2 linked regions of the Struthio camelus genome follow. The protein of the gene in region 1 purifies or fractionates together with the protein of each later gene. This does not show direct contact. Links are inferred from orthologs where the notes say so. Each region holds a gene or a part of one and is shown in the gene's direction. Other genes may lie near its edges.

Region 1 (7,544 bases):
TGAGAGGGAGAAGATTGGTAGTCGCGGAATACACTGGTTTACCTGTTACTGAAGGTAAGGAGAATCTGATTTTTAAAAAACAAAGCAGTGCAACCATTGTACTCTTTCAAAAACACAACAAAATGCTTCATCAGCCTTAATTTTAGCTTGTTTTTACAGAACCTGTATTTTATGCAAAATTTTAGTTTTAGTGCTCTTTAACGCAAGTTGCAGAGTGTCTGCAAAAGAACTTGTAGCGCTCCAAAATTAAATGAAGAGGATGCCGAGGTGCTGGCAGTAGTAACAATCATTTAAAGCAAACTAAAAATACTGTCATACTAACGATAACTATCTTGGGCTTTCCTTGTGCAACCCCTTTTTGCCCCAACCTGATTATTATAACTAGCCGGTAGTTGTTTCAGGTTAAGTTGAAAGATTTGGATTTTCAAGTTTCAAAGTGCATTCTGCTTCTTGATTTCAAGGAAGGGCAAGGGCTTTGATGCCTTTTAGAAATTTGGCCCTGAGTTTTCCAGGGGCAGAAATTACTAGCTACTGAAAGGAGGAAGCATCCTGTGAAGGGAGTATGTGGCAATATAGCTGAAGGTTGTATCGTTATGTCAGGGTGTCAGTTAAGGCTGCATAAGAAATCTTAATTCTGCCTGTAACTTCTGACTGCTTGGCTGTGCAACTGTCCTGTGGCTGTAACACGGTTTACAATGCCATTTCCTAAAAGGTTACTAAAAAGAGGATTTTATTAAGGGTAACTACGTTGACTCCGATTTCTGCCTCAGTCCTCCCTGTACAGCTATTTCTAAATCACTTTTCAGCTACGCTGAGTATCACATAGTGCAGACTCAAGCAGAGTGAAATGATCGATATTGTAATGGACTTCTCGTCGTAGTACATGACAGAAATAATAAATGTCATGATATATGACAATCCTTGTAAAGCCCTATGGAGCCAAACGGGACGCAGAAAGCATCTATCTTCCACTTCCTACCCTTGTTTTGCCTCTCTGTGTCTGTTCTTTGTTTCCTCCCACATTTATTTCCTTGGTAATGGAAAACTGTAATTGAATTAAAAGCGACTCTGTCCGCGCAAGGGCTGCCGTGGCTGCGCCGTTCGCCTTCGACAGGACGGGGTGGAGGCCTGCGAGCGCGGGCTGCCCTGCGAGCTGCCGAGTGCTGCGCCCAGCAGGTTTCCAGCTGGTTTGCACAAGCAGTCGGGTACCGCCGTTGGCACTACATCAGGTAAGCGCACGTGCAAACGGCTGCAGCCTCTTTTGCTGTCGCTGTGCGTTATTCACCCGTCCACTCCAGTCTGTTTGCCATTGAGATCGGGCCAAAACTACGTTTTAAATTTTGATACCGGTTCCGATTTTCAAGCCAAATCAAACAAACGTCTTATCTGTGTCAGTACAGCTCCTCTTGGCTGAAACAGCTGATCAAATAGTGATGCCTGTGCTCTGCCAGTGATACCAGCTGCCACACTCGATGAGCTTTTCTGCCTCTGCTGCTTCGCAGATGCCTGCACCTTCCCTATCCGGGACTGCCAAACTGCCACTCTTCCTACGTTAAAGTCCACCCTTAGAATTAATTGCTTCTAAAAGATAATAAGAAATGAACCAAACTAAAGGTCAGAAAATGAAATAAGCACTGTTCCCTCTCTCGTTTCCTAAGGAGATTTTAAGAGGAGTAAATTGGAAGGATTGTCCGTGATGCTTTTGTGATCGCTCTGTTCTTATCCCGAAAACTGACTCGGGTGTGCTGTTTGAGCCACGTTCAGCTGAATGCCAGAGGTCTCAGATTCCTGCAAGTTCCATACAAACGGCTGGCTGAGCACAGGTGAGGGAAACGGTCTTTTTTTGGACCTGCAGAAAAAAGTGAGTTCATCTCTAGACACTAGAGAAACCACACAGTACAGAGTGGTTTGAAGTGCCCTAATCAGGAAGTTTCTGGGGGAGATGCCACCTTATCAGACACCAGCTGGGAAACACAAGTCCCTAGGAAAGCAACCTGCATCAGTTCTTCTGTCCACAGACAGCTTGTTCTGTTTATCTTTTGATACTTGGGCCCTTTTTAAGATTAGAGTTTTTCCGTACCGTCGTGAGGGCTGTCTCTCTGTTTGGAATTCACCTCCTGGCTTTAATCTCAGGATGCTGATAATGGGAGCTTTACGCCCAAAATTATTACTCCTAGTAAAAACTCAAGAGTGGCAACACTGCATCTTCGGCGTGGCAGTTCTTCAGTCTGCTGTGCCATGGTAGCAGAGGCCACGAAGAAGGCTACTTCCTTCTAATACCAAGCCACGAACTTAGAAATGACAGGGAAAAGACTGTATTGTCCTTGAAATCTTTCTCCACCTCCCTGAGGATTTATGCTCCTTCAACACCTTTTCTTTGGCTTTGTTACCAATTTAAAGAAACTGTGCCTCCTCGTGGAGAACCTTCCCTGTTTTCATTCACCATCTATCTCCTAATGAACGCTTAAACAAAATTATAAGATTAGACACAACTGTGGACTGCCCTTATCTTACATTCATACAGAGCAAAGCATCTCCCTGGTGTTTATGTTTTCAAACACTTGTCTTCATCCTTTCCCTCCTGATGTTAAAAATGTCTCTCAAGCTCTTAAATTTGGCATTGTAATAGAAAACAGATGCAAACCTAACTAATTAAGTCTTACTTGTACCAAACTTAACTAATTAAGTCTTACTTGTACCAGATCAGTGATATGTTAGATAATTCTGCATTTCCATGTCCGTGTAATGAGATATGTTGATCGGGCGCACTTACGTTCTCTTAACTGTTACCTGCAGTTGCCTCAGGAGCGTTCATGGTGTGTCCCGTGGCACATTCAGAGGCGAACACTGTTGCACGTGGCAAACGCGACTGTAGGGTACAATGAGCTGCGTGGGCCAGTGAACTCTTAGGAAACAAAGATGCAGCAGGGAAGGAAAAACTACTTGTGAAAAAGAATACATCAAGAGGAACGCAGAATATGGGCCGAAGCAAAATGCAGTGCCCCACACCTGTTATAGAAGTGTCCATGCTCCTGTCACCTCTTCCCTGTTCCCAGCATGAGTTCCCCATTAACAGATGCATCTGGCTTAAAGTCTTTGCCCTGATACAGTTCTTTTTTTTCTGACACGAACTTAGTGTCTGGAGAGATGATTCTGGTCCCATACCCACAATATCCACATACATGTTCCACTGGAACAATAAACCTGTTATGCAACTCAGGAATGCTCACAGAGCTTTCGTAGGAGCTGAAACCAGGCTCAAAACAGGGCAAAACTTTGTTTTGACTTGACATCCACCAGTGTGTTATTTCTCTGTCTATATATGATGCACAGTTTGCAAATTAACCAATGTTTCTACTGTAGGATGCAAAAGAAGAAAGAGAAATAAAAATGACTGTTAGTTTCTCTGGTTTTGCTTAAAAGCCCTTAATTGTCACATCCTACAACTGTGCCACCATGTATTTAAATAAAGAGTAAGAGCTGGTAGGAAATTGAGAAGAGAAACAGAAAAAAAACCCCATAATTTTTACTTGTATCAGCATTTCCAAATCAGCTGTAGCTAGCATTTGTTAGTTACTGCACCGTAGCAAACTAGCCCTCCCTTAACGTGACTTGGGGGTGCTGCGTTGAGCAGGGTGTTGGACCAGATGATGCCAGAGGTCTCTTCCCAACTAAACCATTCTGATTCTAGAAGAGGGTGCTCACAGTGACCTCCCAGGGCCCAAATCTCCCATCCTCAGTCACAGGGTAAAAAGCACGACTATCTACGCTTGTACCTTTTTTTTTTTTCCACACAGAAGCTGATTTCATTCTTACTGTTATTTTAGTTATCCTGTGGCAATCCACCTGACAAAACCTTAGTTTCCCCAAGCAGTTTTAATGTTAACGTGACTGTCGGGGCCTTTATCCTGGGAAGCCTGTGGCTTAAGTAACCTCACATTTGGAAAACAAATTGTATTCTGCACCAGAATATGAGACCTTGCATCCCAAAATAAGCTGACTGCGTACGTGCTGTAGATATATACCGTTTTTCAAAGAGGGGGCGAGCTTTGCGGGAGGCTAAGGAAGAAGGTGAACGCCACATTTTGGCATGTAAGCGCCGCTGTAAAATAACCATGTCGATTCTTCGTTGTTTCGTTTTCTGCCTTTATGAATACTGCTGTTATGTATTACACGTTTCAGTCACTGCAGACACCCGGGCGATGTGAGGCTATATGCTTTTATCCCATCAAATGCCGGCCCCGGCGGAGCTCCCCGCACACTGCCGCCGCCGCCTGGCCCCGGCTGCGCGGCCGGCGCGCGGCAGCCCCCGCCTACGCGGGTACGAAGGCCGGCAGGGAGCTACGCGAGCCACCGCGCGGCTGCCTCGTTGGCGACGGCAGGTTTCGTTCGCAGGCCAACGCCTCACCCGCCGGCCGCCTCGGCCCCGCCACCATTTTGTGACCGCCGCAGCCCCCCGCCCAGCCCGCCCGCCGGCCGCGCGCGCGGGCGCCCGCCCCCCCCTCCCCCCAACGCCGCGCGGCGCCTGCGCAGTGGGGCGGCGGCGGCGGCGGGGAGGGGCGGGGCGCGGCGCGGCGCTCTCGCGAGAGCGCGCGGGCTATATCTGGGAGTGGGCGGGCGCGCGGCTTCCTTTAGTGCGCGTCCGCCCGCAGCACCGCATCCCGCCCCCGCGCCTCCCGCCCGAGCAGGCCCGAGAAGATGGAGGACAGCGCCATGGACATGGAGAGCATGGGCCCCCTGCGCCCGCAGACCTTTCTCTTCGGTAACGGCCCCCGCGGCGCCCCGCTCTCCCCTCCTCGCCCGGCCCCGGCCCCTGACGGCCGCCATCCGCTCCCTTAGGCCTCCGCTCCCCGCCTGGGCCGGGTGGGCGGCGGCGGCGGGGGGAGGGGGGGCGGGCTGGCAGCGGCGGCGAGGCCCGATGGGAGCCGCGGGCCTGCTGCGGCCCTCGGCGGTCGCCGCGGGGGGGGGGGGGAAACACCGTGGGGGGGGCGCCGGCCTCGGTGGGCCGCGCGCCGGCGTCCGTTGGCCGCGCGTCCGTTAGCCGCGCGCCGGCGTCCGTTAGCCGCGCGTTCGGCCGGCGCGCGCGCCCCACGTGGCGGGCCGCTGGCACGTGGCGGCGGCGGCCTGGCGGGGGCTGGCTTTTGTTGGCCCGCGCCCCCGCCGCCCGGCCCGGTCGCCGCTCGCCCGGCCGCTCGTCCCTTTCGGGACGCGGGCACGTTGCGTTGCGGGCGGCGCGGAGCCGGCGGGCGGCCCGAGCACATGGCGGCGCGGCGGGAGGTGGAGCACGTGGAGGGCGGCGGGCCGCCTTGCCCGCTGCCGGCCCGAGGGGAAGCCGGCCGACCCGCCCGCCCCACGCCTCGCCTCGCCGGGGGTGGCACATGGCCGGCGGCAGCGCGGGCAGTGCGCAGCGGCGCTGGAAGCCGCTGGTTTTGTAGCGGCTGGTCTTGGACGAAGTGTAATGGCTGACGCTGCGGGTAGGAGCTGCGTGGTAGGCCATGGGCCGGGACTCGCCTGGGGTTTTCCCCTCCCTACGCGTTTCTCTTGAGTTTCTTTGCACGCATGCAGTGGGGTTGGTTTTCTATGCAAATGCAGCACCATAAAGCAGAAAGCATTACACTTCTAAGTAACAAGTGGCTAGCAAGTACCTGTTCCTGAAAACAATAGTTTGCTTGCAACTTAATGATTTTTTTTTTTTACAGGCTGTGAGCTTAAAGCAGACAAGGAGTATCAGTTCAAGGTAGATGATGAAGAAAATGAGCATCAGTTATCTTTGAGAACGGCAAGTATTATCTACTTTTTAAGGTGCAAGCTTGAATTTTGTTTTTTGAGTAATAATATGCTACGTTATGAAAAGTGAGCTTTTGTAACATGTAAATTTGTTCCTTAAACATCTGTTCTGTCTGGCATTTGCAAGTGTTTTGAGTCAGTTTGCTAGATAACCTCTTATTAGGAACTGAACATCCCGTTTTACCTTGAAAATTCTCTATTGTTGTTTCATGGCTTATAGCAAGTGACACCAGGTTTTAAAAAAAAAGTTCTTTAAAAAAAATGAGTTCACAATAGGTCAGTAAATTTGCTAAAAGGGATGAGGGCAGGCCTATGTCTTCTGGTATCTCTGGTGCAACGGTTTAGATGCTGCAGGAGCAAAAGCAGGGATTGGATTTATATTTTTCACAGATGGGTGCGGACTGGGGAAACTTTACTTTGAAAACTTTTTCTTTGTGTTCCCCAAGCATTATAATACCAGTGCCTTTTTCCCCCAATCAGCAGCTAATGTTGCATCTAATTTGGAGGGGAAAAGGCTTTTATGTTCTGATACGTTTTTTGGTAGTGTTGTCCTCTTTTTAAGGATGTTATGGGAAACACTGTCTTTGATTCATACATTTAATCAGACAGAGCAGCTGCTCACTGAACAGGATACTCCTTGAAATCAAGGTGTGCATATTGAGAGTTCTTAAATATGTCCTTAGTTCTTTCTGCTGTCCCAGCAAGAAGGACACTGCACTTCTCTACTCTGGGCTAAGCATGCGACTTCTGTTTTGGTTAGCACAAACGTGACACAACTTCACAGGGAAGGGATTTAAACGTTGTCACATCTGTGTACTTTAGTCCAGCATTTAATAGCATGTGTATTTAATCACATTACATTGCAGTCGCATTTAATGTAGAGAGATGTCTTGATGACACTTCTAAATAAGTGAATTTTAGGATTCTAGAGTGCTTCCTACAGGAGTCCAGGATAACAATGGCTGCCTGAGTTAAAACTCATTCAAAGTAATACATAACACTTATGATGTTAATTTGAATATTGTAGTATTGTGTGAACTATGTTTATAGAGTCCTTGCAGTTTATGAAAAACACAATCTGGACTTGACGGTGACCACTTTGTACTTAATGGCCTTTTAGAATCTCTCTTGAGGGAAGAATACTGTAAAGTATGGGTAGGGCAAGTCGATGTGGATTGTTCTCATGCCTGCCTGTTTGTAGCACACATGAAATGAGCCACTGAATGATAACCTCAGTTGTGTGGGCTTATCCAAAGTTCCTAGTTTTGAAAATTACCGTCTCTTCCGGTTGCTGTGACCTCTTCATGGAGGATGAGGCAAATTGATGGACTTACAGCATCAGTACTTAGTTTTTGAGGTTGTGAGAGAAAAGGTCTAATTCAGAAAACTGCCTTTTAAAGTCAAAGGGAGGTAACCTGTCGGAGAGACAAGAAAGTTGAAATAACATGTGACAAACTGGGAATTTCTGAAAGGATTGGACATAGCTAGAAACAAAGAAAAATTGACATGGTAAGCAGAGCAAGGAGTTTTTGGAAGCTCAGGTATGAAGCTAGTGAATACTTGGTGACTGTGCTCTATGAACTTGATAAAACTAGATGAATAAAGATGCATACCTGTCAGTTACGCAAGTGTGGCAGGGGGCTTGGTATGAGATAGAAAAAAGGATAAAAGTGAAAGAGGAGGAGGATTGATGTATGTGGAGGTAGAAAGTGGCATGTGATGGTTTTCTTAAATGCCTGGTCTTAATGACAGCTGTG
Region 2 (7,254 bases), on another chromosome or scaffold:
GGTCTCCAGAAAGGTGCAAAACACTTGGCCTTGATGTGGCATGATACGCTCCAGGTTGGACAAGCAACACACAATCCATTATAAGGGTTTAATATCAGCAAGAAGTAAGCCATTTTCTTTCTGGCTGTTACAAGCCTCTCCTGCACAGCTAACAGAAACAGTTACTTTTGCAAGAGAGGCTTCTAACAGAAAAAACTTAAATACCCTATTTAATAGCTGGGCTCCAGCATCAAGCGCTGCAATTCATTGTTTTGGTCCTCTAACTCCCTCACCCCCAATCTTTCAACTAAGGTGACTAAAGCAGTGCAAAGCAAGACTCTGAGCTGAATGCTGAGGAGTCACTGCACTATATAATAGATAACATTGAGATTAGGAATCGAAGTAATTGATAAGCAAAAGAAAACAAGCACCTCCATATAATCAATCTTTTGTCCTCCCTGGGAAAAGGGGGCACGCACACTAGATTTGGGAGGTTTTTCCATCCAAAGCAAACAGGTTCTGTAATGAGAAGTTGCACAATACAGACAACTGAGGCAGAAGGAAATCCTATTAATCTGCATCAAATTGCTATGAGCGAAGGAGCCATGGTTTCCTTTTAAACTTTTAAAACACCAACTTAGAATCCAGAAATTGGGAGCAGCCAGGACAACCAGTAAGCCATTTGGAAGCGTGGAGATGCTTCGATCAGCTGCAAGCTCTGTGCTTGGTAGGACATTCATGCTGCTGAAGTCTCTCATGGCCACGTTGCTACTGGTGCTCAGGACATTTTAGGATGATATATCATAACGGCAAAAGAGTTAAGTCAGGCTAGCCGTGACAAGAATCAGCTACTTCACTACAGATAAATATTTTTGACAGAGGAAAAAAAAAAAAAAGCTAAGTGTCACAATTATGCTCCGTTTCACCATTTCATATTTTAGATAAAACAAGTCATTGTATATATTTTATTAGACTAGCCATAACAGGACATCAACTTCTGTTACAATGATGGGAGGTTCAGCCATGCCAGCAACCTGCCAACAGAAGAGAGATCAACCATAGCAAGTCTTGCACTGTGGTACTAGTGACCAAGCGTCCCTCTCCCTAAAGGCCAAACAATACTAGTTAAGAGCGAGCAAGCAAGCTTGACCATACCCAAGACAAAAATGACAGATATTCTTTTAACATGCTAAGCTTATTAGTTTCCAGTTACTGCAGATTATAAGGACAGCCCACAGTTTCTTTCAAAACGCCATTTCAGTGGGAATTTTGTATTTGAAAGTGGACTCTACTATTTGCCAGTATTTTGTAACACTTGTTTGTTGCTATACCAGAACGTAGAAGTCTGCTAAGCTTTATCAGATTTAGTCGCATGGACCTTCTTTTTAACATGCTCTAACTCACAAGTCAAATGCTTATGTTAAGAAATAAGAAGAATAGCCACCCATGCAGGCTTAGTTCACCCTTCCAGGGATTCACTACGTTAGTCTAAGCACTGTTCTATAGGACTCTTCCATAATCAGGTGTGCAGGGTATATAGTTCCTTTACTCTGTTTAAAGCAAGGTTTGAAGAGAATGTATTAATCTCTTCTTGGAATTCTCCAATATCACTAACAAACAAGTCCTCAAATATTACTTCATTACTTCTATACCCAATAAAGTGACAGGTTAGCCCTATTTTACAGCAAACGTCAGGCTAGAGGCACTGTTGTTTTAGGCAAAGCCCGAGACACCTAGCTGCAACCCCCTTCCATTCCCCCTTTCTTGCTTGCTCTTCCTCCCCCTCTAACATCTCTAACCCTCTTTACCGTTCCAGAAGAGTAACAATCCTGGTAACCCATAATTTCCACATGCCCCATTAGCAACCAACTTCTTTCAAAATACTCCAAAGCAAACTGACTTTGTATTTACCATTTTAAACCTCAACTGAACCATGAGGTTCCTGTGCCTACACGTCTATCTCTAATCATATTTTGTTAGCAACTCATCCTTCCTCACTCCTTCTCCTTGGACTGGCATTGAATCATTTTGGTCCTGGAAGAACACCAGCCACTTACCATTTACTTTTCTGCCACAGCAGGAGTTTTCTTTTTAGGCCTAAGCTTGAAGTATAAGATGAGCATTGCAATGCTTGTATACGTCGCTATTACATACTGAAAAACATAAAAGTTTAGTTTCAGGCTAAAACCCCCCAAAACACCATTATGCTAGACTACAAAAGTTAATTTACATAATACATACATTCCTCCTGCCTGTGATGGTATAGGAATTGAAGTATTTCTGAAATCCAGTGAACTGGTGTTGAGATCCTGAGTCATGGCCTGCCATGGTCACTTGTCCTAACAAGCAATAAAGTTAATGAGTTTTACAGTGAGTTGCGACAGGATGACTACATAATTGTTTTAAACTCTACACTGAACTTAATACTTCCCTTGTCAAGTATTAAGTCTGCTCTCAGGACATTCAACAGACACTAAAAATACATAAGGGGTAGACATATTCAGAGCACTTATATCTTAAAATACAATGCCACGCAAGTGACATGAACGCACACATGGAAGTGAGGGGTTCTGGACAGAAAGATTTATGATTTTCTGAATTCATTCGACTGAGTTTAAGCATGGAAAAAAAAAAATCAGTTTGATGAAGAGGTAAGGGAAAATTCTTTAAAATACTTACAAAAGAGAGAACTGCCAGTCCTGCCTACAATCATTCAAAAGAGGCAACCTTCTACTGGTTGTTCAGGAATTTGCAATACCTAATCAAGATAAATCTTCACTAGTTCAGCTATGACAACTATATATCAAAAACCGGTTGACAAAATTGGGACTAGACCCCTGCTACATTTTGTGATTCAAAATGCAGTTTTGCAACTCTTTTATGCTGTCTATGACGGTGCAAGCTGTCAATGAAAACAGCCCTGCTCGCAGTTGCACGTTTCCACTGCATCTTTTGTGCCCACCCTAAACACTCATAGGCTTGGCTAAAAAAAAAAATATATATATATATATATATATTTTGCTGGTTAGTTTTCTGCTAGAGCACTGAGTCAACTGAGCTGGCTACCCAGCCTCAGAGCATTACACAGCACTGTGAAGTGCTTTCACAGGCACACCAAAACCACCAAGTACACGAGAACACACTTTTGAATTTTGTCTGTCTAGATGAGAGTTTCAGATCCTCTGTGAGGAGCTGGTTAACGTGACAGTAAGAAGATTAGCATATCAATAATATACATTTAGAATCACAGAACAGCTGAGGTTGGAGGGGACCTCTGGAAATTGTCAGGTCCAACCCTCTGCTCACAACAGGGTCAGCTAGAGCAGGTTACCCAAGACTGTGGCCAGAGAGGTTTTGAAAATCTCCAAGGATGGAGACTCCACAACCTCTCCGGGCAGTCTGCATTCAAACACCCTCAGAGCACAAAAAAAAAAAAAAAAAGTTGTTTCCTTATGCTTAAAGATACATTTTGGTTTTAAAATATATTGAGGATAAATATTCGTTATTTGCTAACGCAGCGCAGAAGCGGTACGCGTGCCATAGGGTTACGCGCCGAACCAGGCCGAGGGGCGGCACCGCTCGCAGGAGAGGGCGGCGGGGAACCTCCGCAGCAGGTTCCCCGTCATCAACGCAACTGCTGCACCAGCCCGACCCAACGGCGCAGCTCCAGGCCGCTATCAGGCCGGCCCCCCTGCACGCACCCGGGCTCATTACCCCACGCCGCCCGCGGACGTTAGGTAAGTAAAACCCCTCCGTGCTGGCAGCAGGGGTCGGGGGAAGGCAAGGTCACCTGCCCAGGCCGCAGCGGCCGCGGGCGGCTCACCGCCACCCGCCTCCCTCGGGGCGGCCCGATGCCCTTGACCGGCGCCGCCACCCGCCCGCCCGCCCCAGCCCAACGCTGAGGGCCGAGCCGGGCCCGGCTCGCCAGCGCAGGAGGCGCCGGCCCCGACGACCCCTCGGGACGGGACAGCCCCCTCCCCGCGGGGCGCCCCCAAGTACCTGGGCCGGAGCCACCCTTCAGCCGCTGCCGCGCTCTGCCCTTCGCTAACGCCCTCCCACAAAATGGCGGCCGCCAGCACCCCGCCCGCCCGCCGGCGCCTACTGGGCCGCGCGAACCGTACGGCGCCGCGGCGAGAGGCGCGGATTGGCTGCGCCGCCGAGGGGGGCGGTCCTCCTCCCCCTTCCCCTCTGGTTGGCCGCGGGGCCCGCTCGCTGCTTCCGCTTGTCCTTTGCCCTTTGACCCTTGCCCTGCGCGCGGTGTTTCCGGGCGGCGCGGCGGCCGCACGTGCAGCCGAGGGAGGGAGGTGCGGGTGATCTCGGCCCCGGTCTCGGCCCCGGCCCTGGCCGAGTCCCGGCCCGGTCCCGCGGCAGCGAGGGAGGCCCGCGGGCCCCGGAGCGGCAGGAGGCCCCGGGAGGTAAGGGAGCCCCCCGGGGCGGCTGGGTGCGCGGCCGCGGGTGGCTGCGGGAAGGCCTGGGCGGCCCCGGGTTACCGCGCTCTAGTCGGAGCGGTGCCTGCGCTGAGAAGGCAGGAAATCTTTCTGTTACTTTAAGTTTTTAAGAGTGTTTAATCCAAAGTGGAGAGTGTCTTGGGAGTTGGGAGCAGCTCTGAGAAGGGAGGTGCGAGAAGGTGGGACCCCCCCATGCAAGTGGTTCAGTTACCAGCCGTGGAAGATGTCTTACTGCTGCGTGGGTCTTTTGATTAAGCGTGTTTTTGATGAGCTTTAGTTTTATTATGTACTCAACGTGTTTAAAGTAGTTTTTGCATGATTAATAAACCATTTAAAAAGCTCTCAAGCTAACAAGGTAATGCTGATTTCCATGTAAGTGCTGTGGACCGAAGTAATTCACAGAATGTGAACCATGACCTAATAAAAAAGGCTTTTATTTCTTAATTGAAGCAAAGTAAGATTAAGTATAGCTGTTAAGTTAAATACATATAGGCCTATTCCTAGTTTGCACAATGACCAGTGAAGTCATATCACGTTTTAAGGCAGCAGCTCAAAAGTCAGAACGCAGACCAAGCTTACGTATTGTTTTAATCAAGATTTTTCTGCTTAATGACTAAAGCTGGTAATTTCAGCTTGTCCGTTTAGTGCAACAGAGGCCTCTACTGAGAACATATGTCACTAAAATGCTTTTCTGAATATGTGCAGGGTGCTTTAATTGCCTTAGAAAATTGATACTTTAGTCAAGTAGAATTGGGCAGTAGTTTAAAAAAAAAAGGTAGGGGTGCATATGTTTAGATACACCCTCACAACACTTCGGTGTAGTCAAACGTTAGAGACGTTTGGGCGAGAGTTTGGATTTTGCCACTGATTAATTGCAAAGTAGGCATCGGAATTCTTGTTTAGTTTTTGAGTAACTCTTTTGGCTTTTTTTGGTTTTGGTGAGGAGTAGTCATAATAACTGTATATTTAATCTGTTTTGTTGTTTGCCCCCTAGAAGTGTAAACATGGCATCCATGGAAGAAAACTTTCCTCGAGGTGGCACCCAGAAAAAACCCACGGAGGGAAAAACACCTAAGCCAAAGATAGAGCAGGACAACTTATTTGATGTATGTTGTTTGTATGTTCTCAATTAACTCTTCTCAGAGCTCTTCCACTGTCAGACTATAGCCTGAAATCCTTCCTATCACTGACTTCTATAGATTTGTCTGATAGCGTTTGTGTTATTGGGACTTTGGGAAAGACATATCTGCTGACATGCACCAGTCTTGTGACCTTTTAGATGTCTTGGACATCTGGTACTTGGTGAACGTGATGACAAAAACTTCAATCAAAATTACTGATCAGACTTCAATATTTTAACGTTCCACAAGTATCTGATCCTGAGTTGCTCGCTTCTGCGTGGCAGGATTGGACCAATTTGTATAGTGATGCTGGAGTCAGTGGATGTAGGCCAAGTTTGTTAGTCTTTCTATTTAGTGGCAGATGTTGCAAATCACTTTTACCGTATACTTCTGAGCGCTGTAAGTTTTACAGTTTTATAAATGGTCAGCCTCAGCCCAAAAGGAGATATTTTGGAAGACTTGCATGTAGACACATAGGGATTAGCAAGGGTGTTCCCTTTTCTCTACAGTCCTGGTATTTTCCTCTAATTGTATTCCTAGCAGTGGAGTTCTTCCTTAGCACGGTGGTCATCTCTTTGCTTACTTTTGTTATTTTCCTGACTGCTTATATAATCTGCTTTAGATTCATCATGAAGAACAAACACAGAAAAGAAAAGGGAGTCAAGGAGATCAAGGAAAGCAGAAGAAGAAGTTCAAGCCGGACCAAAAAGCCACTTTTAAGGACAGTGTTACGAATTTTGAACCACTCACAGTTGAGGTTTGTGGATAAATGTTTGGTTTTGTGTGCATCTGTTGTTCACAAGAAGATGATGAGCCAGGATCTACATGAGGCTTAAAAAAGGGGGTAGATATTTCTTTTATAATAGCAACCTTGGTAGTTAAGTAACGATAGCTTGGAAGAGGTACTAATTGTAGTGTTTTCAGGGTCTCGGTCGTCGTGTGCTAGAGCCCAGAGAGAGAGAGAGATATATGATGGGCATGTTGTAGTGCATCAGCTGGAGTTTCTGGTAATTCTTAAATCTTTCAAGGGAACAAAAACTTCTGGTCAATCCTAGGTTGGATTCTGGTGTGGAGGGACCTGTCGTATGTGCCAGTGTGAGAACTCTGTATCTGGTTTGGAAAGAAAATCTTATTTCAAAAGTGCTCCATGAATTCTTTGGGTCAAGTGCTGTGGACTGAGAAGTAACGCGTGATTTGTACACCTGTGGTTGTTTCTCTTGAGCGTAGTAAGCCCACCAGTCATTCCTGTCCCCATGACAAGATAGAGGTCTCTTCCTGTCTCTTCCCATACCCTGGCAAGATGTCCAGGCTGTTTTGTGGCTTTCTTATTATTTATAGAGTTTCTAGAACGAGGCCTTTTCTGTTGACTCCTGTCACTTCCGATTATTAAGTACTGATGTAACTGGTGGATCTGTCTTGATTATGGTGTGAGTTAAGGTGGTAAATGCTGGTGAGCTCCTTTTTGCTTTTGGTGTGACATCAAAAATGGAGTATGGGACTGGAACTTGGAGACATGAGTCTGTTCCCAGCTCTGTCACTGACCTGCTGGATAGATTACTTTATCTGTTTTCCCCTAGCGAAGTGGGAGTAATTCTGATCTGTGCAGAATGCATTATAAAATACCAGGTGCAAGTACTATTTCAGCCTTTTTCTTTTTCAGGCTTGGTAGGCATTGCATGTTCTTCCTCATTAAACCTGTAAATAGA

The links. Proteins that work in one complex are often made in the same cells at the same time.
Region 2: the proteins of NPM1 (region 1) and PDCD11 purify together in Homo sapiens (affinity purification with mass spectrometry; 3 studies listed by BioGRID and IntAct, with this or other methods). This does not show direct contact. The link is inferred for Struthio camelus from reciprocal best matches to the Homo sapiens genes NPM1 and PDCD11.

Annotation. Positions count from the first base shown.
Region 1 is NC_090954.1:20,056,165-20,063,708, forward strand, and holds the start of NPM1 (nucleophosmin), read left to right. Parts: upstream 1-4,539; 5' UTR 4,540-4,698; coding exon 4,699-4,762; intron 4,763-5,699; coding exon 5,700-5,779; intron 5,780-7,544. UniProt on the Homo sapiens protein: Involved in diverse cellular processes such as ribosome biogenesis, centrosome duplication, protein chaperoning, histone assembly, cell proliferation, and regulation of tumor suppressors p53/TP53 and ARF.
Region 2 is NC_090948.1:15,173,280-15,180,533, reverse strand, and holds the start of PDCD11 (protein RRP5 homolog), read left to right. Parts: upstream 1-4,254; 5' UTR 4,255-4,394; intron 4,395-5,421; 5' UTR 5,422-5,431; coding exon 5,432-5,533; intron 5,534-6,170; coding exon 6,171-6,305; intron 6,306-7,254. UniProt on the Homo sapiens protein: Essential for the generation of mature 18S rRNA, specifically necessary for cleavages at sites A0, 1 and 2 of the 47S precursor. Directly interacts with U3 snoRNA. Involved in the biogenesis of rRNA.